Linked DNA regions of Drosophila melanogaster. The protein of the gene in region 2 interacts with the protein of the main gene of each other region in a biochemical or structural test. Each region holds a gene or a part of one and is shown on either strand. Other genes may lie near its edges. The genes, in order: slo and Slip1.

Region 1 (11,375 bases), on a different chromosome or scaffold from region 2:
TCTGCACATGGCTGGTGGCTAAGTCAAGAATCTGCTTGGGGCTTGGACGATCACCGAACCACTGGTCGAACCAATGGCCACCCATCATCACGGTAAGCACAGTGTTCTCGCCCATGTCGAAGCAGCAGCTGTCGAAGATGACGCCGAGCAGAGGTAACTTTTCCACTGGCGGCACTAGCAATCCAAAGCCGTCTTGTTTGAGTAGCTTGCCGGGGAACTGCATGTTCACTACCAGCACATCCACGTACGGAATGCTCAAAAGTTGGGCGCTCAGCGAGGGATGCTGCTGCTTTACCAGGGGCGCGAGTTTGTAGGCGGGCAGGGAGCTGACCACATGCTCCACCGGAACTTCGGCATCCTTGATGTTCATTCGAACCCCGGAGCTGCTGAAGGTCAGGTTCCGGCATTCGTTGCTTAGCTGCACGTTCACATCCCGCTCACCTAAGTACTTTCGCATAGTTTTGGGTAGGTTCTCCAGACCGCCTTTCAGCCCGTACATGGCCCACTTCTCCTTTACCGCCTGCGCATACAGCTTGGGCTGTCTTTCGGCAAATAGTCCATCCTTGGTGTCCTTGGTCTTGTTCTTCTCAAAGCGGGAAATGAGTGTGCCCTTGAGCACTCCTCCGTACTTCTGTTCCTTTTCAAAGAGCCCCTCCATCAGGAAGCGCACACTTATTTCTCGCGCGTCACCGGCGCAAATACCGCAGATCATGGGACTGATGGCGTAGTCGGCTATCTCCTTACCAAACCGCCGCTCAGCGAAACTGTAGATGCTCTCATCCTCCAGCTTCGCTTTCTTGCTTGCTGTGAACAGATCGCGAAGAACCGCTTTGTATAGCGGCTTCGTGAAGGGAGGCAGGACGCCGAAGAGACCCTTGGGACTGTTGGGCAGCATGCAGAGCTGTCCCTTGGCATACAGCATTCGGTTGCGTGCTGCGACATGACTGCGTCGAATGGGAGTCACCTCCAGCTTCAGATCCTCCACCAATTCTAGCGTATTGGCACCTGGCTCACCAACTGGGCGTATGGTTCGCGGTCCGCTCTCGAAGATGAAGTTGCGATCCTTGCGATTCTCCGACCGCACCCATCCGCCCACACGGGGCGAGGCCTCGTAGATGGTCAGCGGCTTCCCGAATCGCCGCAACAGGTAGTATCCGGCGGATAGTCCACTCAATCCGCCTCCCAGCACGGCCGTCGTCATGGTCCTTCTGCTGCTTCTCGTTGCTCCCGAATCCCTTAGAGGATTCAGACTAGTTCTGGTTTGCAGACGAAAAAATCTATGCCGGCTTCGATCGTTCAGACCAAAATAAACCCAGGTGACATAACTATCGTTGAAGCTATCGATAAGCTCAAATCCAAAATCGCTGAGCTTGCAATCGATGTTATATGCGATTGAAGAGTTTTGAATTGACAATTCTGCAGAAAATAAAATCAAATAAAGGAAGGGATAAATATTTTATAAAATAAATAGCATTTATTGTTATACTTATTTTGGTAACTACAGCTAACATAATATCTTATAATCGAAACAATGGTTTTAGAATATTTATTGTTAAATTATGTAAAGTTAAATAAAATATAGTGCAATTGATAATACTTAATTTAAGCATTGATACAAGAATACAAATGCATAGTACTTTTATTTGCCATTATTTTATCTCATTTAACATGCATTTGTGCACCCGTCCCAAAAGTATGCAATGAATTTCTTCCGACATTCCTCATACGCCACGTGTGCATCGTGCGGAAGTTCACTTGCACCTGCATCGGCACCATTACCATCATCATCACCATCACCGCGGCACTGGGTCATTCATAGTGAATGGGTTTTGGCGCCAGTTTTGATGAATCGAACGAAGCGTCCAGCCCGCACCAACCGCAGGACTCCGAAAAGCTCCCAAAGACGAGCTTGGGCCGTGCGGAAGTACATTGGGCCACCGATTTCCATGTCGTCGGAGTCGACATCGCGCAGAATTGTATACGCTGCTGACGAGAAAGGTTGGTCCTCGCGTTTGAGCGCGTCGCGTCTTTTATTCTGGGTGTGTGAGTGAGTGGACTGTGTGGAAAAGTGCCTATCGCGTATATGTATATTCACGGGACCCATACACACACACACAGCTGCAGCACTTGGAAATGTGAAAAATTTTCAAGCTGCGTTTGCCAATTACGGGGAAAATTGAGCAAAAAACGTCTTAAAATCCGGGCAATTATCGTGGCCATTTGCGGAACGGCAATTGTGCAAAATTCGGTATCCGTTGAAAACGGGCTCAGTGAACGTGAAAATGTGCCACACACACACTTACAACGCAGGAAATTCAATTAATTAGTGACCGAGTGTGTGTGTGTGTGTTCGCCCATAAAACGGCGATTGTGATTGCGAAAAAAGTGTTGCATACATAAAGGAGCTAAGAAGTGGACCAACGAGCAACACTAAAGGAAAACTCTTTAGAAATACAGTTTTTCGCTTTTTTTTTTGGCACTGCTGCAGGTTTTCATTTAAAAGATACATTTGTTGAAGTCAACACACACGGACACACACACATGCGCATACGGCACAGTTTTTCGTTCGTTTTTAAAACGAGCACACCACAAGTTCCCCAAAACGAAAGGACGAAGGGACCCGACCCGATGATAAAGTCGATGTTCCAGGCCGGAGATACACTTGTATCGTTCCCCTGCCTTTGCCGCTGCTGTCATCGTCAATGTTATTTTTGTTGCTTCCTACTCGTCGTCCTTCGTGTGTCGCAGGATACCTTGGTATATGTGTGTCAGTCAGTCACTGGCCGAGCGTGGGTGTGTGTGTGCGTGCGCCAGGATACGCAGATACCCAGATACCTACAAATGAAGCCACCAAATCCAGGCGAGTTCAATGCGCGGCCAGGACGAAGGACTAAGCTCTGTTTACATTGGCTCACGAATGCCCATTTTCCAAGCCCCCTGTATTTTCCGCCCGTTGGCGTGCCGTGGGAAATTGTGTCGCCTGCTTATTTATTATGAAAATGCAACTTTCATTTGACTCGGCATTTGTCCCGTTTCCATTGTTTGCAGGCACATTAGGCAGCTCGTTAAGCGCATGAAAGTGTGTGTCCTGCGGGTGTGCGAGTGTGTGTGTGTGACACGAAGGGGAACTAAAAACTAGGGCAGTGTGTTTCCGTTTCAACGACATGCCGCAGGCGAAAGAACGAGTCCGTCCGCAGGACAGCAAAGCCTCGCTAATCGGGCAGGAAATGAATAACTTAAAAAGTTACCAATGACAAGTTTGACATTAAATGTATCATATACAAATAACATGCAAACGAAAGTGATAATTGTAAAGCATGTTGTATATTGCCAAAAATTCTAGTTTTTGGTACCACATTGCGTATGCTTAACCAAAATGTGCGACTTTCGCAGGCAAGGAAAAAGCTTTCTGCCCGACAATTTTCGGATTCCCTGCATCGCGCAGCCGCCAATACGCCAGCAGCAATTGTGAGAAATTGAGAGAAATTCTCAGAGAATTCTCCGAGAACTGAGAATTTAAAAACGGCGAGAATAGTGCTGATTTTGCTTTCAAGTCTGCTTCGCATCTTTATTTATTTATTTACTTGACACGCTTGCTTTTCCGGCTACGGAAAATGGTGATACAATGTCTAAAATAATATTAATTTAATAGAATATATATACGAATACAAATATATACGTAATATCATTGACAAATGTCTGCGGTCGTAAAAAAATTAAAAACGCAAATAACGCTGACAGCCTAACTAAAAAATATAATTAATTACCGCGTTCGTCGCGCTGCCTTGGCAAATTAAAAAGTATTTAAATTATCGCTCAACTTAATAAATCTCTTGCAGCTTAACACACAAGGAAAAATTTCGTGGGCAAACAAAGCTAAATAAGTTGTGAAAGGAAACATGAGCAGTGTGACTAAGCGCAGTTTCTAATTTAACCAAATTCCAATTCAAATTCAAAAGAACGAACAACTATTGATCAAGACGGCAAAGAAAGAAGCAAACAAACCAAAACGCACAATGAAACTGATAAGCTTAACGCAGCTGATAACACAATGAAACTCATCCACGGATCCGAAATGCAATTATGAAATAATCAGCAAGCCGCAATCCATCAGCCAGTGAGGAAAATCCAGCCAGCCAGCCCAAGAATTTCCACGTGCAACATTGGCGAGCCGCAGCGACCACAAATCGTCCAAACACATTGATGTGCGATTTGAGCGTGTGAATGTTGGCAGCCCTGGAGCCCTGCCTCGGTGGTTTAGCCAGTACTAGGTGAGTACTCCCAGTCCTTCATCCATTCGCCCAAAAAACACTGTTCCAAATCCCAATTCGATTGCACCACCACCACAACATCCATACACTGTGCCGCATAGAAACCCGAATATGAGAACGGATAGCGAGGGGAAAGCCGTAGCAGCCGCAAGATCCACTTCGAAATCCAGAAAGACCATCAACACCACATCAGCAAGCGGTCCGCCCGGACCGAAACCGGAACGAACATGGCCAGCTGGTGCCCCAATTGCCACGAACTGCCACCGTTCTATCCGCCCATCACGCCAAAGGTAAAGCCCTTGATGTCGTACGTGATAAATCCACAGATACATATTCGTACGCCTCGCTTGTGAAAGACCATCTGAAATTGTAGAAGTCACGTTAGCGGCTCTGCAATGATCTGTATACGGACTACTGGGATTAACCTATCTCTCCAGCTCGTCAATCAATCAATCATCAATCAATCAGTCATTTTTCCAGCGATAGTTCGCAGTGCTAGACGCTGCTACTCTTATCACATTTTGCTCTACTTCGAACATATAAAAGGCAGTGATCTTTAATCCAATAGCTTATCACTTTGTTTTGAATCCAAAGGAGCGAGCTCATTATATTATATATATCATTAAAATGTAAGCCTTATTTCTGTTAATTAAGTGTACAACTTGGTGTAAAACGATAATGTAATCGAGAGATATTTGTAAAATTTGTTGTAAATATATATAATGTACATAATCTTATCAGTACTTAGTAAGTTAAATGGCTCAGTTTATTTACTAGGTACAAACGCTTTTTCCATTTCTTCAAGAATAGTTTATGCTAAGCTCACTTTAATTTAAGAAACCCAATACCACAATCTAATCTTAATTATGCGATCGTATATTTCGCTTCCTGCTTTGAATTCGTTTCGCTCCATTTAATAAATGGGATTCACATCACTTTGGCAACCCATTCGCAGTGGGTCGCGTGACCTTTGTGAATGTGGCACACAAAGAACCCAGTGCAAACACACACACCGACCAAGTGCAGCCTAAGCCCTTTGGCCTTGGCCAATGTCCAATGTCCGATGGGAAAGCGAAAAGACATGGGGGATTGGGGAGACCAGTGGCCGGCAATCAACGGACCCAATCAGCGGGCCAAGTGCTGGCCATAAATTGCTCAGAAAGTCGAAGGGTATTTGTCAGCTTCGTCAGTTGTCGCCGTCTTTGTGCCTTTCGAGCGTTTCGCTTTGACGGACATGCGTCAAGATATATAGAGCTAGCTGGTCAGGGGCTCGCCCACGCCCCCCAAAATCGATAGTTCGCAATGAAAATTATTATCTAGCCACCGGTAGCCGTGTGACTTCATCCGTTTCTGGCCGCAAAATGACAGGGAAATCGGCCTGGTGGTATAATTTATATCGTTCCCTATCTTTTCCACCCGCACTCATAAGGCGCCACCAATTCCATCGACTTGGCGCAGTATCTCTGAGCCCGTTAAGGCGTTTTGACCGAAAAAAGCATTCTCCATTTGGGCCAAAGAATATAGAGCGACCAGTGCTTCTCATGTTATAAATAATTTATTCAACGCCGGCCACTGCAGTTTCGCTTGGATCGATGAAAGTGCTCGGAAGTTAATCCAAACACTAAAAAAAAAGGCAAGCAACTGAAATTTTCAAAAAAAAAAAAAAAAAACGTTTGAATGTGCTTATTTAAAGGAAACTTGATACCACTTCTAAATTCAATCCAATTTTGTGAGTGTGTTTGCTTTGCGAATTACAAATTAACACCCAGTTGTGTGCATTTAATTGAGTTAAAAATAATAGTATTTACAAAGGCCTCAAGTTTAACAAAAAGGTTAAAGAGTAACCCATTTCGGCTTAAAAAAAACATTGTGTTTTAACTTTAAAATTAATAACTTATTATAAACCTCATTACAAAACATTAATGCAATTTAGAAACCTTTTATCCTTAGCTCAAATGTTGAGTTTCGTAAATATTACGTATACGCAATGCTTAAATTCAAGGTGAATGCTGCTTAAAAATAGTCATCAAATATTTAATTGAATAACAATTTTGCTCTTCTTCGCTATTTATAATTGCGTAAATGCAATGAAGCGAAGAACCTAACCGCCCAAGCATCGCAAAAAAATAGAGAGCAGTGAAAAAAAAACAACGATACTGAAATAAAAACTATAAATAAAATGCACGCCACTGGCTTATGATGAGCATGATGATGATGGGAAGGGATAGCAATGCAGGGATGCGAGGGCTAAGGGATGATGAGCAATTATGGCCAGTGGGGCAGTAGTGGAAAGTAGTGGAAAGTAGCGGCAGTGGCATGTGCAAACAAACTGGGCCAACTTGTTACCACGGCTGCCCCCGCAGGAAATAGCAAACAAAGCGCGTAAATTATGAAACGACAGCTAACTGGCGGCATGGCGTGACTCGCCCGAGTTAACTGAAGCAATGGCAGTAACGTTAACGTTCACGTTAACCTGCCTCCCGCCCACCTATACACCCATCCACTGGATCCACCAGCCACTTTTTGGGAACGAGTGTTGCCCGGGGGGCCATGGGGTCACCGAAGAAGGAATGCAAAAAGTGTGTGTATAGGCGCAGAGCACAAAACAAGAGACAAAACCAAAATGAAAAAGCGAATAGAAGCGAACTCATAATTTATTTATTTATACTCGGCCTGCCGTTGTCTCTTCTTCTTGTAACAATAATTCATTGTGGCCAACACACACGCACACACACAACACACTTGCTGGCTGCCCTTGCCAAGGGTTCCACCAATATTTGCATCAATCGAACTTTTTCTATTAAACATTCAAACATGAAATTGTACAAAACAAATTAAAAATATCGTTAGATTATAAGCGGAACTAGAAATTATTATATGTACCGCTTGATAGAACATTTTACTGGGCTAACTTAAGATTAAAGGACAAGCAAATATTGTAAATAAAAAGTTACTCTTCACTATTTATTCAGTAATCCTTCGAATTCTTTAGGATTCGAGTGTCCAAAACTACAAAGGTCCTTCGAATTCGTTGTAACACAACAGTTAGGGTATATCCTCTTTATTCCAATACCCAATTGAATTCGCCTTGTCTTGGCGCTCTGCCTTTTAATTAAATTCAAGTTTGTCGCCCGTACTGACACTTTTCGCGGTCAGCCATATAGCCAAATGCCCGTATAGTCATACAATCCGCCGGAGAGCGAGAGAGATGGCCGGAGAGTGGGTGAGCCAGAAAGAGAGAGGGATGGAGAGCTGTAGCCTCCAAGGGGATATAGATAGATAGGAGCGGGCTCTTTGTAATCGTTGAAACCGTCCCGATGGCACTGGGGCAATTGGAAAACGGCTCGTTCAGTTGGTGGACGCCAGTTGTGCGGTTCGCTCGGTGCCTCCTTTTGATTCAGCTCGATTCTAGACTCTAGACTAAAATCGCGTGCGTGCCGCGTCGTGTGTGCGACATCCGCCATATATATATATATATATAATAATATATACGGCATATACTATACGTATATCTGTGGCTCCGTCTACACCCCCAAAATTCGTACAAATTGCAAATTCACATGCGTATGTGCAGTGATTCACCGAATGAGTGCGTTGGCCTCTGGCCGCAAGTTGTGAATACCCAGTGAATCCCTAATGAATGCAGGCCATAACCACAATCCTAACCAGATTGTAGTATATGTATATATGTAGTTATGGTATTTGGTTGTATGGATCGTAAGATCGGTGCTGTGTAGTCGGCCTTTGCCCAGTGTTATGAGCACTTTTGTCGCCGTGCGTGTGTCGGAGAAAAAGATCACTTTAAAAATAACAGATTTGTTTGATGCTATTTATAATAGACGGGCCAAGTTTTCGTTCCGTTTCGCATTGTGAGGCTGAGGCCTTTGGTGTTCCGAGATCTTTGGTGGATCATTCGTATCTTTCGGATTTCCCAGCGTCTTCTATTCTCTGGCACTCTAGTAGCCTGGCACTCGACTGCACTTGAACGCCATTCGAATACGAATATAGTGGCAATATTAATTTGACAGCGTTTGTGTGTTCGAGTGTCGCAATGTAAACAGCCAAAATGGCAAGCGGTTTGATCGACACCAATTTCAGCAGCACATTGGCAAATGTAAGGATTGTACATAGAACACACTATATACCCTATGCACAGAGAGAACTTTTTCATTACAATTTATTTATGTAATTAAAATAAGAAAAAGTCATAAAAAAGTCATAACATGTGGTTGTTTTTTTTTTAAGCCACATATTAAATTTAAGTAATCCACAAAGCACTATATATAAAAAATATTTTGTGTCACATAAGTTAGATTTATAAAGTAACCAACCAACTGAAACTGCATATTTCATAAAAATGTAAAATGACATTATTTTTCGCCTTCTTTTTGTTGTGTGCACAAATGAATACTCTTTTCGGCTAAGCAAACTAGAGACATTTATTCATGAACTCATTTCATTTATGCGCACCCTTGGCCAGGCACAAATTTTGTTTACATTCGCCAGCGTCGCCAAGTTGAGAAGAGTATAGTATAGTATATACATATATGTGTACGATTGGATTGCGACCGAGTGTCTTCATATATAGAAGGCATTTCGCCGATTTCAAATGTCAAGTGTATGACGTAAACAATGTTTCCGCCAGTTATCGTATTGATTTATGCTAATTATAGTTAGCTAATTGCTAGACCATTGCAACCGAACTAATTGCTAACGCTTTTCGAATTCGAATATTGTGATTGCAGGGGATGTCGGGGTGTGATCAAAGCACTGTCGAATCATTGGCCGACGATCCAACAGATTCACCATTCGACGCCGATGATTGTCTCAAGGTGCGCAAGTACTGGTGCTTTCTGCTGTCCAGCATCTTTACATTCCTTGCTGGCCTGCTCGTGGTGCTGCTATGGCGAGCCTTCGCATTCGTTTGCTGCCGCAAGGAGCCGGACCTGGGGCCCAACGACCCCAAGCAGAAGGAGCAGAAGGCATCCCGCAACAAACAGGAGTTCGAGGGCACCTTTATGACAGAAGCGAAAGACTGGGCTGGAGAGCTTATCTCGGGTCAAACAACAACTGGTCGAATTTTGGTGAGTACCCTCCACATTGGACGTCGTCCATTTATCATTTATGAGCCCCCTTCTTCGTATGGTTTGGAAAGTGGCCCGAGCATATGGTCACATTTGCCACACTGCGGGAAATATTGGTGGTTTCTTATAATGGAATTAAAGAAAAATCAAAAAGGAGCATTTTTTAACTTGTAGATTGCCTTTCGTTACTAGTCTGTTACTACATTGAATGTTTCTTAAAAAAAAGTTTTATATGGGAAGACCTTATCATATATATAGACAATAATTTCTGTCATGAAGGACGAAATTAAGAACATATATAAGCTTAAATTATCATTTAGTTTTGTTTTGGTTAAATAGAAAGGCGGGTTATTGGGTATGCATCAAGTATAATCTTCAAGACAGTATATTTACTGCAAGAGATGCATTCCCTGAAGTTCAGTAAACGAAGTCAACCCACATGCCATCAAATACTTAGTTATTTCTGCAAGTGCCATTTCTTTGAATGCCAAAAGCCGATGAATTATTCAGGGATCGAGTGGGTATATGGTTGTCCGTAGCAAGGAAAACACTAAGGTGTCCTTGTCCATCGTTGCAGCTGGCGAAAGTGCCATCGCCTTGCATTTGGAGCAGTTTCCAGGCACAATCGACTCTATGCCACCATTGGCTGCCACTTGCGTGTGTAATTTGTTTGCGATTGCTGACTGCGGTGGATTCGGGGGAAGCATTTCGTGTCAACAGCGGAAGCAGCAAAGTAAATGCGCCATTTCCACGTACAATAAATACATGAGCACAAATTGAGCGGGAGGTGGGTGCAATTCGAGGGTTCATTTCAATTAAACTCTGCCTGCGTACGAATTAACTACGATGGTTTTGTGGCTCTTGCCCCACTTCCCTCACAACAGAGCGATGAAAAACGGTTACTTGTTCAAATATTACGCATACGTCATGGCGTACCGACCCATCCATTAACTGGCCTTAGTTAATTACTCACACTGGCTCAGCGGCAATTTAGTGGGTCTTATTGGGCATTGTGGTTTAATGCGCTCGATAAGTATTTCTAGATTTGATGTTGCCGACACATTGAGTGCGAGCTTATCAGCTGAATATTTGCATTTGTCTGGGCGTCTTTAGGTGGGAGGGACATGGTAAATCCTCTTTGAGTGTATAAATGTACTCCATGATAAAAAATATAAGCTTTTATTTAGTTATAAATAAATTAGAATATATTGTAGCAGCTGTTTCATGAACCATGGGAAATTGGTATATCATTTCTGCTGAACATATTATTCTCTGTACGATAAGCTTCGTTACAAGTAAACTTTGATTGCCTATTTGTAAGTTCTCGAGTGAACTAGATTCTTTGACAAAAGCGACAAGCTCTGGACGATTGTAAGGGGTCAAGGGTGGGACATCCGTAAACTTGCACCACGCATCCTCCCATCCTCCAAATCCTCGCCAGGCAGTTCGACGCTGCCTCGTTGTCAACTGGCGCACAATGGCACAGCGGTGGGGAACGCGCATTGCCATGTAGCATGTGCTCACATTTGGCATTAAACGCGCCCCCCGCTTTTCCGATTTCCCATTTTCCGACCGCCCGCCGTGTGGTTAGTTGTGTCTGGCATATTTATCGATAGTTTCGCCCTCGTCCTGCGGTACTATGCTACTTTTTTTTATTAGTTTATTATTTTTTTTTTTGTATATTTTATTTAAAATTGATTCACATTTTCATTTTATGGCTAAAATAAATGAAAATGCCTGTCGCTCTTGTAGTCAATTTGAACTTTTGGCTAATAGCAGGAAACGGGCTGCGAGGAAATGATGTATGCATATGCTTTTGGTTGGGAGTCAGTGGAGGAGTGGGTGGCGTTTGCCCAAGGAACCACAACAAATAACAGTAAATAATATGGCAAATGCCAGGATAGAAGCCGTTTGAAAGGGAAATGTTACCAGAAGGAAAATCGATGAAACAGCGCGCACATTTCCACTTTCACCCACTGCGGAGTGGGTTGTAAGTGGGCGGAAAGTGGGCGGCAGATTG
Region 2 (14,108 bases):
ATCATATCTTCACAAAAGGCTCCACCCTCGATCACGGACTTAACTCGCTCGTGACCAACCCCTAACTTACAACTTTTGTGTCACTCACCCCTTGTAACTTCTTTTCTTCTCATACCCTCCCTAAAACACACATCGCCTAATACTAAATGAACGATGAATACATAGTTATGTAGGCGCCGATCCTTAAACTAAATAGGGCAGCTTATTGTCTAAATGCAGTCCATTAACAACGCATGGTAATATCAATTAGCAAATTCACGATATATTTTTTACAAATAACACTGTTATCAACGCCAGCCCAGTGGCCCAAAATTTACGTGTGTACACTCGAAAACTTGAATCCCCAGGTACACATTCCGGCAGTATTTCGTCACGCCTTTTGTATGGAAAGATGGTGGAGGGTTGAGGGTGGAGGTACGCAGGCTAATTAGTATATGGAAAGCGATTCCTTAGATGAACTGTACTGACAAAATTGTCATAAAAGGACACAGCAACAGTTATTTTATTAAGCACACCAAATTCAATTTAATGACATTACCGGCATTCAACACACGATAAAGAATGCAATCAAAAATATTACAACTATCGATGTCTCAGAGATGAGAGCCGGTATATTGGAATATTTAATTATAGACCATTGACACTGAACCACTTAGAGCTCTGATAAATGCAATAGCTTACTTCTTGTACTTAAAAGTTATTGTTTCATATGTGTATGAAATTTATAGCTTAAGAGTTAGCAAAATTGATATTGCAGTTGCGGTGCAACATTGGCCCTGTTCTCAAAGTATCAAAAATTATGTATACAGGAAACTCTTAGATTAAAACCTGAAGTTTGTAAGCTAATAAGTAGTAAAACATATAACACCCATTGGAAATAATATTAATAGATAAAAATACTTCAATAAATTTCAAATACATTTTTTGAGAACCAATGATTTAGATTATGGGAATTTTGACTATTAACTAAATTATAAGCACATATTTTGTAGTTTTTTTTTAATTTAAAACAAATCATGCGCCAAAAATCAACAAATAATCCCTCTAGAGTCAACAGAATAGGTCAAAAGAGCATGCGGAATGAGTCTACAGATAGCGCACACTTGACCCTTGCTTAACACGGAATGACGATCCTAAAAATCTCAAGTTGAACGAAAATCTGTTTTGCGAATCAGAATCCATGATTAGACAGGGATTAGAAGTTAGACAGAATCCTATAGTCGATATCCCAGGATATCAGATACCCGTAACTCAGCTAGGGGAAGTGAAAACGATAAATTTTAACGTTTTTCTGGCATATCGATACAAATTGGGAAAAAACAAAAAAAAAACTGTTTCAAAAGATTGGGCGAGGCAGTTTTGGGCGGTTTCTTGGTATACCAATAGAAATTGTCTAGGCAAATAATAACACAAACAAATAATCAAAACTTTTTACTACGTTTTGTGCAGCTTGTGGACAATAGTCTTCGAAAAAGTTTTTAGCTGAACGCTAAAAAAAATTGCGGTTTGTGGGCGTGGCAATATGAGGGTAAAATCTTGCCCTCCGTCTTTGTTTCGGGACATTTTAGCTTCCATAGTTTAAAAGAATATACATATCTACTTTATGGGGTGAGAAACGCTACCTTCTACCTGATACATCTAGTATACTCTTTTACTCTACGGGTATTAAAATGAGTTTAAATTTCAAAAAGAAGTTAAAAGAAGTTTTGGTAAATAGGTATTTGACCTGGAAAGCTATTATTTTATTTTGAAATCAAAATAAGAGAAATCGCTATAGTCGAGTTCCTCGATAGATGAGATAATTTGAAAGCAACGTTTTTGTTCACGATTTCTTTATTTTAGATAAACAATACCTTAGAATTACTTGCATTATTATGTTATACCTAACTGAAAGTATTTCATTAATTACATGTGTAATATGCCGTAAATAATCGTGGCAGCATCAACGAAGACTATACGCATTGTAGGGATTATTTTAACAAATAACTTGTATAGGAACAGTTTTTGAATTTTATAACGACCCCCAAAACAACGTTTTAATTCAATTTGGACACACCAAAAAATGTTAGATTATAAAATTTTAAAGTGGAATTATGACAAATCTTGTTTTTGCACCTTGATAATCTCTTTAAGTTTTGATGACGACCATAACAATCAAATAAAATTGTTCGACAGTAAATCCAATTAGTGTTCTTAAGACTGTTGTTAAAGCTATGTAAGTTTTAAATGGTACAAAAGGAAAATGTTACTGTGGCTATTGTTGCTGTTGCTGCGTCTGATGATGTCTCTTCTCTCGAGCTCGTTCGATATGCCGCTTTCGTTCTTCTTTTGTCCAATAACGACCTATTTTTACTTCAGATATTGTATCGTCTTCCGTCGTGGTAACCTCGTTGTAACGCATATTTTTCCGCAATGCAACTTGGGGTCGATTACGTACTGGCCGTTTTACTATGTACCGCGTTCCATCTGGTCGCCTTTTAACCTTCCATACCATGGGTATTTCCTCAGCACTTTCACCGTTAAGCAAAGTAGCATTTTTTTGTAAGCTTGTTGAAATATGACATCTGTTTGCAACCTTTACAAAAGTAATCAAAACTTTTATTTATAGAATATGGGCAAAAAAATATATTCAATGGAATATGAGAGAGATGGAATATGAGATACATGTATATACTAATAGATTTAATAGATTTGCAAGCCTACTTATATGGTATATTTGCCCTTTGAATTTTATTGAAAATGTACAATGTTTTTAGAATTGTTCTTTTTTTGATGCATAATTTTTCACTAAAAATCGATTTAAAACCTCCTTTCATGTGATCTCTTATTGGAATGATCTTAGAAAAAAGTTGAATAAAGTAGTAAATAGTGGTAAAAATATGTATTTTCCTGACCTGTTGATCCTTACATGTTTTAAATTTTAAACCCATAGAAAACGTTCAGTAAATGCACTTATAAGAAAATTATTAAAATATTTTCAATGGATGATACTTAATTCATTAAGATGTGTAACATTCAAATGAAATCTTAGATTTAACCGTCAACTGTTAAAATCATTGTCATCCATTCGTTTTAATCCCCTACTAATACCATTTTACCCCATATGCACATACATTAAACTTGTACTTACCTCTTGACTACTAACAAAGTGGTAACTACTCAAATTTGGGGCGTTAAACTGTGGACAATGACTATAGGAATCATCAGTTGGTTTAACTCTTAGTATTTCAATGTCGCTTTTAAGTGGATGAATTTCATTTTCAGACCCAACGTTGGTATACCGCTCTGAAGTGGAATAATGTTAATGGTAATTAAATGAAGTTCACGATATATCGTTTTCAGTTTGTAAATCTTATAATAAGACGTTCAGTTAAATGTTACACAAATTTGAAAATGTTAATTGCTTCAGAATTTTTTTTATCAAGGCAAAAATGATAAATCGTTTTATACCCGTGGAGAAAAGTATCTAACAGGTAGAAGAAAGCGTTTCAACCATATAAAGTATATACATATATTCTTGATCAGTGTCAATAGGCGAGTCGTTCTGGACATGAACGTCTATGCACGCCCACACTTTTGAAAAATTTTAAAATTTTTTCTTATTGTATTCCCCCATATTTATTGATATCCCAGACAAATTATGAAATTTCGCGTTCGCATTTACACTAGCTGAGTAACGGGTATCTGATAGTCGGGGAACTTGACTATAGCATTCTCTAAAATGGCGTTAAAATGGGCGGGTCCAAATTTTTTGACATATCGATAGAGAGAATCACTGCATGCTGTCCCAACTTTATAACTTTTATAGCTTCCGAGATCTCGACGTTTTTAAGGACACAGGGGCATGGCCAGACAGACTCGTCTAGTAATCAATAATATATATTTACGTCTTATTGTTTGAACGTTGGTACTGGTTCACTTTCAGAATCTTATGGAATGGCCTCATAGGTGTGCGCGCAATCACATTGCAGATTTACTTATTTTTGGCTTAAAGATTGATTGAAGCTTTTTCTATAATCCAAGTTTGCATTCGGTCGAAGCTTTATTTTACTACACGACTTGTTAGATTGCTCAATGATATTTTTCGCCAATAAAGATATTTTAACATTTTAGTCAGATGAGTTTTTTTGGTGGTATATGATAGCATTTGTCAGATTGAATAGCGGACGTAAGTTAAGAAAATCTTATCAAGTTCATCCACTACATTTGTATAGTCATCTGGCAAAAATGTATTAGCATACTCAAAATGTATATCTTCGACATCATCGTCGTCCTATAAAAATTTGTTAAACCATTTACACCTTTGAATTTTATACTTTGATTAATAAAAATGGTTTCTATCGATTCTCAATGGTTAACACAACTGTAGGCACTTATTTTCGATAGATAAATAATATTTTGTCTACAATTCCTCAACCTACACTGCGTCTCTTTTTGTTGAATCCAATCGGAAAAATATTTATCATTAACATATTGACTTTTCCAGTTAAAATATAAGCCTTTAGTTTCAACTTTCTAGCTTTTATATCTACCGACATCTCGACATCCGTAAGGACAGAGGGACATGACCAGATAGACTCGTCTAGTAATCAAGAATTTATACTTTACAGGGTTTGAAATTTTCTTCAACCGTTTACTAGCTTTTTAACGAGCCTAGTACCATTTAATTCAAAGTTTAAAAAGTAAAAGGTGAAGAGCTTTTAAAGTGGAGCACGTCTGATATGTCAGACGCTACGTACTATCTGCAACTAAAATATAATTGTTATGCATACCGCTGACATACGCTGTAGGCAGATTGGAAGAGCAGAGACCAATACGGCCAGACTTGCCGAATGGTAATAGCAACATAGTGCTTACACCTGTGGCATCCAAATGATCATTGGGGCTATCAATAACAGTACTATCTAGCTTGCGACCAGTGGCGATGGCTTCATCAGGATTTGTAGTATTTTGATGGGGGGAGGCGCTATTATTAGAATCACCAGTGTTGTAGGCACTTGAGGAGTTATCGACCTCTTCGCCAGGAGCCGCGGCGTTCCCTGTAACAACATTATTTTGTCCATAAGAGCTGTATGCCACTCCACTACTGCTGGATGCGCTTGTGTTGGTTAAGGTGCTACGCAATGTAAAAACACGACTACAAGTAGGTTGCTGTACTAATTTCAACGGCGGGGGTCGACCAACTAGAGTTTGTCTAGTTTTCTGGTATTGTGGCTTCAAGCCCAACCACTGGGCGACTCTTTGAGTTTGTTGTTGCATTGTTCTTTCTAATGATTCGGCCGGTCTCGATGCTATTGGAGATGAACAACCTATTGACGTCTTGTCGTTTGAACGTTGGTACGGTGAACAATACACTGGTTCACTTTCAGAATCTTCTGGAATGGTTTCGTAAATGTGCTCGCTTTCATCGTACTCATATTGCAGATGAACTTCTTCTTGGCTTAAAGGTAGATTGAATTTTTTTTTATAATCCAAGTTTGCATTCGGTCGAAGCTTTATTTTACTACAGGACTTGGTAGATTGCTCAATGATATTTTTCGCCAAAGAAGATATTTTAACGTTTGAATCAGATGAGTTCTTTTCTGGTATGTGATAGCATTCGTCAGATTGCATGGCGGATTTATTGGATAGTTCTTCCAAAGACTTGACGTGAGTTAACAAAACCTTATCCAATTTATCCACTACATTTGTATAGTCATCTGGCAGAAATGTATTAGCATACTCAAAATGTATATCTTCGTCATCATCGTCTTCCTATAAAAAATTTGTTCCAAAATATTGCAGCTAGTTAAAATATTTACAGTTTTAAACTTTATACTTTGATTAATAAAAATGGTTTTATCGGTTATCAATGGGTCACACAACTGTAGGCACTTATTTTGGATAAATAAATAATATTTTTCTACAAATTCTCAACTCCCACTGCGGTCTGTTTTAAGAATACAATCACAAAAATATTTACCATTAACATTATTGACTTTTCAAATATTATACATATCGCTATGGACTTTATAGTCCCAACACCCATCTCATCTATATGGAATGTGGGTATTAATAGTATTACTAACCTGGTTAAGCACATATTTTATAAAACGAGTTTGAGGATTCATGGAAAATCGTTAGTAAGCGTATGCGAATTTGACCGTAAGGTAAATATATATATAAAGATATACTCCAAACAAAACCATGATTTTAAGTTACGAGATTGAAGGCGGTTACTCTGAGGCAACAAGTCGAAATCGGATCTAAATTAAAAACCAGAACGAACAATATTTTTTTTAATTTAATGGTGCGCATTTTTTAGCGTATTAAATTCTACAGTGGTATAACCCCTTACTATAGTTATGAACTAAGTGTTTATTTGGGAATTTTTTTTTGGTATTAGAAATTTCGACTTACAGGGTATAGAATTCGACTAACTAGTAGCGTTACTGATGTACTACTCCTGGCTATCTGAGTTTCTAACTCCTCCTGGTTTTTAACATCCAAGCCGTTAATACGAAGAATCTGATCCCCCTGTCGCAGGCGCCCATCACGATAGGCTATACTTTCCGGTTGTACACCACTGATGAACACATCCTCACTATGTTCTAAAACGTTACCTAGTATGTCACCTTTATTCGTGTCGGTACTTGATTGCTGAATTCCGGAGGAGGTAACAATGAGCCCGATTTGATTGCTGCTTGACTGTTCAACACCTTTAACAAGCGTTACTTCCTGTTGATTATAAAAAAATACTATTATTTTGAATCCCAACACACATATCTAAGCAACTGACAGTTTTAGGATCTGTTATAAATACATCGGTTTCAATAATATTTATGTAGACGGCGAGAGTAAATAAACCACTGGCGTACAAAAGGCAATCACCTTATACCTTCCAAAAATTTTTATTTATTTTATTTGATATTTTTTGCTTTCTCGAAATTTGTTTAAATATCATTGTGTGCAAATACTTAGCAAGTGACAGTGTACACACAACTCCAAAAAATTTTAATAATAAACTTTGTGAATATTAATAATAACTGTTATGCCCGTCCGACCGCTCGATCATTCAAAGTCTACAGATGGCTTGTGTTGGTATATAGTCTCTCCTCAACGAATATAACAAAACTGCAACATACATATGTATGTACATATGGAGAATATGAGCATTTAAAATTTCTGCACTTCGCAAGGGCAAGGGTTGAATGTGGGCCCGCAGCCCAAGCAAACGCTACACAAATGCTCATACAAACGCAATTTGTATTTGCATTAAATAAGCATAGAATGGGTCTTAAGTGTATAGAGAAGTCGCCATCGCACATCGCGAAGACAGACCAGAACAGTTTTGTGGTACTGCTGTAGTAATGTATGGTAAATACCTCAATGTCGATTTCCGGTTCCAGGCATTGTTCGAACAAATGGTGTTCATGCTCTATGAAGTTGTCGGTAATTGTGTTAACCAAATCGTTATCCTTTAAAACGTCCGTACCAACGACAGATTGGGTTTGAGTTTCCTTCGATGCGGCTTGTAGACTTCCCAAACGATCCTCATGACTTCTAGCCCGAAGAGTTAAAACCACAGGAGTTTTCGTCTCGATTTCTTTCAACGATGTTGAAGATGGGCAATTTATTTGTTGAGAGGCACTGGCAGCTGTGATCGTCCCTTCTGCTGACTTGTCAGTTAGGACAGAAAGTTCTCCGGGATTGTCCACTTTTGATATTTTGGCATTGGAGCCATGTTTTAATTCTAAATCTAATGCATTGTGTTTCTGTCTGCGTATTTCTACGACAAGGGTTTCTTTAGATTGAAGGAACTTTTGAACCGCTTCATACCTCGACAAATGACTAATATCGTAACCGTTTATCTGAAACAGAATATGTGCATTTTGAAACGCTAAAAAACAGATTTCACACGAATGGAACTATTTATGGTAAAACGAGAACTCGGTTCTTAGTCCTACTTTATATTGAACTTACTTTTAACACAACATATTCGTACTCCACGTCGGCAATACTCATAGTGATGCTTAAAATCCAAAACTCATATTTATTTTCATTTAATTGTATACATATTTTTTCGAAAGTGTGGCCAAACCTTTTGTTTTCATTTATATCATTTACGTATTCTTTTTGATAAAAATTGTAATCGATTCTCTTAAGTAATCGTTTAATAACTCGCAACGGAATGGAAACCGTTAACGGATTGAGAAATCATAGCAATTAAAATTATCCGCTCGTATAAACGCATATTTTCAGACTGTACCAATTTTCAATTCATATTGTTGAATATAAAGTTGAAGTTGATGTAATGAAATTGATAATATAATATAATATTTCAATGGCTTAGGCATTGATAACCACGAAAAGCGGAGGTGCCCCTTGACTAAAAAGAGTTGCTATAGAATGGTTTTTGTAACCACTATTGTTTGATACGCACCTGTCATTGAAGTTCTTGTCGTTTCGTATCAATTTTGTGCTATGTAAATGAAATGGAAATGGCCTTAGTGACTTAACTGTGTGAACACAATATAATAATTTATTTCCGATACTTTTATCTTGATCTATCGATGGATGCGTATTTCTTAAAGCATACACATATACAATTATATAGAGCTTAAATAGCCGGATCAATTCGTATTTAAGGTTGTATGATGGTTAAAACGGGAAATCGCAGTAATTTTTATTATTTAAATAGTAAATTTAAACTTCAGTAAAAATATCCTAAATAATGTGAAGTGTCAAGAGCCAGGTGGACATAGCCATATCCGTACGCCCGTTTCTCACTAAATCTTTCTAAAAGCCTTTCTGTTGCCGATACTATGCATACTACATGTATGGCAGAAAGACCTCGACAAAGGGGAACATACATACATATCTTCTTTTTTGTTAGAAAGTGTTTTATCTCGGTATTGAACAGTTTTCGACCATATGCCTTGGAAAAGTCAAATTTTTTCTGTTCGTGATCATAAATAGATATTATTCAGTATAAGCATATAAAAATCGGCTTGCCGATTTTTGTTTATTTCCTATATTATACCCATTACTTGTAAAGTAAAATCGTATATGTATTAGATTCGCTGCAATGTATGTAATTGGTAGAAGAAACCGTCTCCGATCATAGAAAGTATATGTATGTAATAGGAACGCATCGATCCCATTTTATACTCACATGTTTCCAAATGTTTACACGCTTGTTCTAACGACCACGAACCGCCCAAAAACTGCCAAAAACAATTTTAACCAAATACCTACAAATCGTTCAAAACTGTAACGCCCATATCAATTTAAACACACATAAACCCTATGTAGTATATACATACATATGTATGTGTCTAGATTAGAAAGAAACACCCATCCGAGTTGATACTTCCGTCTGCCCCTATGAATGTTGTAATGTCGGGAAGCACTCCTCTGGCTACCAAAAATTAGTAATGTAAATAAAGGAGAGGTGGGCTAATTTGATTCTAAGGTTATATATTTCTTTTTTATTGCATTTGTTTTCGGTTTGGACATCATATAGTGTCCAAATCCCGAAGTTCATTAACTAGTCTCGGAAACCTTTTTGTTCACCTGTTATGTTCTTTTTTAATTTTTAATAACCCCCTTACTTTACGAGTGAAGAGTATAAAAGAATTATAAATACTTTTTCAAGAATTCAGGTTAATATAATTATTCGATTTTATGATAGAATCTAACGTTCCGCTAACCATTTAATACAGCAAACCATATTTATTTTCAGATCAAAAATGACAACACACGATGAGGCTCAGTCATACTTCTCACGTCTTAATTCAATTTCCGAAAAAATTACCTGCGATCTCAATAAAGTTAAATCTACATACAACCAAGACGCTTGGCTTAAATTGACTTTAAACGAACAGGAAAAAATATTGAATAACCAATTAATAGATCCTGTTATATTTTCTAAGTACTGTCATAAGACTAAAGAAAACTATGCGGCACAGGATCCGTACGAAAATACTGAAGTTAGTAAAAATGATTACCGTAAATTTTGTTTCAGAGACATTGTATATTTATATAACGGCCAAGATTTACACACATATAATTATCAAAACGTTGGTTTAAAAATATTACGCGATGAAAACACCGGAGATTTTCAAGATGAACATTCGTTTCCATTTTCTTATCGAACCAAATCACAAATTAACATAGTATTAAAAGAATTTGATGATATCTGTCTTGTTGAAACTCCATTAGGCGTAAAAAAGGCCATTCATTTAAAATTGAAGACAAAAGATTCAACCAATAAAAAAATACCAATTCTCCACCTTAATTCTAATGATAAAACCGGCGTTAACACAACGGAAAGAAAGATTTCCATTCATGAAAACTTCTCAAAAACCCAAACTGTTTATATTGATGAATGTATTGAATCTAATGAGAAAATGCAACTGCTCGTTAAATGTGGATCGAAAAACAGTGTGTTAAACGACTTGTCTGATTATGAAAACGAATTTAAAGATGCACGTCAAGACGAAAATACAAAACTGTTATCCCCTGAACTAAAAATGCCTAAGGGTTTCGATTTTCTTAGCAATTGGTAAAACCTATTTAAATCTCATAGATAGTCGAAGGAGAGCCGATATTTTAGAACATAATTTCATTTGATTTCAAGGCAAAACACCAAAACATACACATTAATATTAATCGGTCGTAAGTCCAAACTTTATACATTACATTATTAAGGATTCTTTTTTAACATAGACTTAATAAAATAAGTTATGAATTTAATGGATTGCCCAAACCTGTTTCAATTCTCACTTCAATAAGGCATTCAAGCTTTAAAATTTATTAATGCATATGTTATCTCACTGTATTGTTTTAATCCCTTAAATTTCATTTGAATTGTTAGAAATGGTCGAGAGTTATATGAGTTGGAACTTGTTTGAAACAGCTCTGTTTTGAATTAATTTAAATTATATCAGCTAATTTATTTTAATCAATTAATCCTTCTGTTGTGTACCCTCTATCTGACCTCTTCGATGTGAACGGGTCACAGCACTTATTTTAGGCAGTTGTGTAAACTGGGTATTACCTAAGATTGATTAATATCGATTAGTTTAAGAAAATATCGGACATCTACCTAGAAGAGTCTGTCGTGATCCAGGCGAAGTGCGAGTGAGAGCATCGTATAGTTACTTTTTATTTAAATTGCGTGTGTTAAAATGAATTAGCACGAGTAGTGAATGTTTTTGTGTGCGTAATCTTTCGAAAACAAGCGCTTTGTCATTAAAACGAAAAGATTGCCAACAGCCCACCACGGATAGAATGTACGGAGTAATGCAGCTAAATTGAAGTAGAATAATTTTAATGTATGGTTGAAGACGTACTCAGTACGATTAAAAGCGAAACTTTCTGACATAACCTAAGTGTGCATAACCTAAATGGTCGCAAAAACCCAAGCGTTTAGTTTCGGACATACGCATGTGTGTATCAGTGCAGAATAAATTCTGTTCGCTTGTGTATCGTGCATTGGAAAAGTCTATATGTACATATGTTCCAGTCAAGAGTTGCCACGCTTTAAATCTTTTACATAATGACAAAGCAATAGGGAATTTAAATGTGTCGCATTTGCTTTGAGGTTTTCCACACCAACAGTTAAAATTTAGTAATAGTGTAATTAAAAATAAAGTAAGCATTTTGCATATTTGCATTAGTCTATACTCCACATACCTTTCCATTCCGTCTTTAAATTTTGACTAGGTGGCAATATTGCAAGCAGGAATATCTGTATGGGTTTATTTAATACACTAGTAACTGCCGTCCCCATCGTCGAACGTGCGCAGAAATTTATATTCAATTACATCGAATTATAATTATTGTTGAGTCTAATCAGTTTTCGCATTCAAGATTGTTATTAATCCCAGTTTATTTTGTGAAATATGAAAAACTATAATTGATTGTCGAATGTGTGTATGTTTTACAACACATACACACTTTGTGAACTCGTCAAAGTGGCTTGACATGCATACACACAAAAATGCACATATATTTACATATATAGAGAAAATCAACTTCTCGTTCAGTAAAGGCAAAAATTGTTGCAAATATTCGGTGAACTATTAGCGTATACACAAGTGTTCAATTTTACTATAAACGCATATTCTGGCAATAGATATTAATTTCTAATTTCTGTTTGGTAGGTTTTAGTTAGATCTCCATTTTGTGACGTTCTCAGCTTTTCGCTTGTATTTCTACACATAGGGTACAAGACACGCGAATATACTAAGTATTGTACAATGACTTCTCTACATATGCACTAGAGTACTGAAAATGTATTCATACAAATGTATATACATGTATATATCTATCGCATTAGTCTTTTTGCCAATACTTGCATATATACAGGTTGTGTAAATACATTTTAAATTCTAAGTTTATTTGAGCATAATTGCAAGTGCGAAATTAGGAAAGGGAGACATAAAATAGGGTGCTTCCGTCAATGTCTGCCTGCCCAGAGTTGACAAATTCATTTTACTTGTGTACATATGCATATGTATATTTATATACCATTACAGAGTTGTGAATTTAATTGTTTTATTTTTTGACATGCATTCGTTTTTCACACAGGAATTTGTCGTTAATGTGGGTGGGGATTCTGCCGGTTGGGCAGCAGACCTGGTAGGTCAGCGATCGCGATGCATATTTCATTTTTAAAATTCTTTATGTACATACTAAGTATACATGTTTAACTCCTGTCAAATGACTCCCACTCTTATATACCCATATGTATGTCCTCAGACTTTTTGAATCGATTATAAAGCTTAAATTTTTATGATTTCTCCTTCAGAATTTTAACTGATGTTATGCAGTTAAAAATCTGTAAAGAAGATATTGATTAAGCCTACGAAAAGCTGATCAGAATTAAAAAATTTTTTAAGAACAACGAACAATAGAAAAACTAAAAACAAACGTGCACAACGTAGGGGTCACTAGAATCTGCATGCTTATTCTCAACTGTCTAGCTTTTATGTCGAAAACGCTTCCGCTATGTAACATACTTTAGAACAAATCTGGTATACCATATACCATTTTACTCTATTAATAATGTGTATAAAGCATAAACGTATCACGGTGATTAAGTTTATTTATCCTGTGTATATACAAGAAAATAAAAAAAGAACTTAGCAATTTGATTTAGAATGAATATTTTGTAATAAAAATAATAAATGTTTTCTATATTTCTACAGAACACGGAAAGAACAAGGATTCAGATTAAGTCATTCCTTTTCGATTAAATTAAATAACTTTTAAAAATTGCCATAAATGCTTATGATAATGAAGTTAAAGATCAAGTGGATGTTGGAATAGTAAGGAATGCTACTTTTGAAGCTGACAATCAGTTAGAACACTTGAGCACTATGCGTGAAGCCCTTTTTTCCCAAGATGGCTGGGGCTGTCAGCATGTTAACCAGGATACTAATTGGGAAGTTCCCAGTTCGCCAGAACCAGCCAATAAGGATGCACCCGGTCCACCAATGTGGAAGCCAAGCATTAACAATGGTACTGATCTTTGGGAGTCCAATTTGAGAAACGGAGGTCAGCCGGCCGCACAGCAAGTTCCAAAGCCGTCGTGGGGTCATACACCATCCTCTAACTTAGGTGGAACATGGGGTGAGGACGACGATGGCGCCGATAGTAGTAGTGTGTGGACTGGAGGAGCTGTTAGCAACGCGGGATCCGGAGCTGCAGTGGGAGTAAACCAAGCCGGAGTTAATGTCGGTCCAGGCGGTGTTGTTTCGTCTGGCGGACCTCAGTGGGGACAAGGTGTCGTTGGCGTCGGACTTGGATCAACTGGTAGGCCTAATATCTATTAGAATTAATGAAGTTAAGCGCAAACGATCAGATAAAGGCTCTAGCTTTTCCCTCAAAATGTGACTAACAATACATGATAAAAACATAAAGTGTAGTAATTGAAGTTGGAGCCTTATCTGGGGAATTACCTATTCTAAGTTCTACAGAAACTTTTATTTCATTAACCCGAAATACTTTTATATTTCTGCTGTTATTTAAGGAGGTAACGGGTCAAGCAATATAACTGGATCGTCTGGAGTCGCAACAGGTAGTAGCGGAAACTCCAGCAACGCTGGTAACGGTTGGGG

The links.
Region 1: the proteins of Slip1 (region 2) and slo form a complex in vitro, tested with the Drosophila melanogaster proteins (one study listed by BioGRID).

The regions. Positions count from the first base shown.
Region 1 is NT_033777.3:24,660,525-24,671,899, forward strand, and holds the start of slo (slowpoke), read left to right. Parts: upstream 1-1,966; 5' UTR 1,967-2,039; intron 2,040-3,839; 5' UTR 3,840-4,271; intron 4,272-4,372; 5' UTR 4,373-4,561; exon of another isoform or gene 4,562-4,900; intron 4,901-7,621; exon of another isoform or gene 7,622-8,337; coding exon of another isoform or gene 8,338-8,385; intron 8,386-9,016; coding exon of another isoform or gene 9,017-9,019; coding exon 9,020-9,355; intron 9,356-11,375. Other genes in the region: Ppox (protoporphyrinogen oxidase), read right to left, coding at 1-1,201. UniProt on the Drosophila melanogaster protein: Potassium channel activated by both membrane depolarization or increase in cytosolic Ca(2+) that mediates export of K(+). Its activation dampens the excitatory events that elevate the cytosolic Ca(2+) concentration and/or depolarize the cell membrane.
Region 2 is NC_004353.4:657,597-671,704, reverse strand, and holds Slip1 (SLo interacting protein 1), read right to left. Parts: upstream 8,085-14,108; 5' UTR 8,005-8,084; coding exon 7,963-8,004; intron 7,851-7,962; coding exon 7,365-7,850; intron 6,718-7,364; coding exon 6,400-6,717; intron 5,755-6,399; coding exon 4,773-5,754; intron 3,286-4,772; coding exon 3,131-3,285; intron 2,576-3,130; coding exon 2,255-2,575; 3' UTR 1,821-2,254; downstream 1-1,820. Other genes in the region: CG46466 (uncharacterized protein), read left to right, coding at 9,732-10,550; gw (gawky), read left to right, coding at 13,368-13,803, 14,021-14,108. UniProt on the Drosophila melanogaster protein: May selectively reduce calcium-activated potassium channel (Slo) currents by reducing the number of Slo channels in the plasma membrane.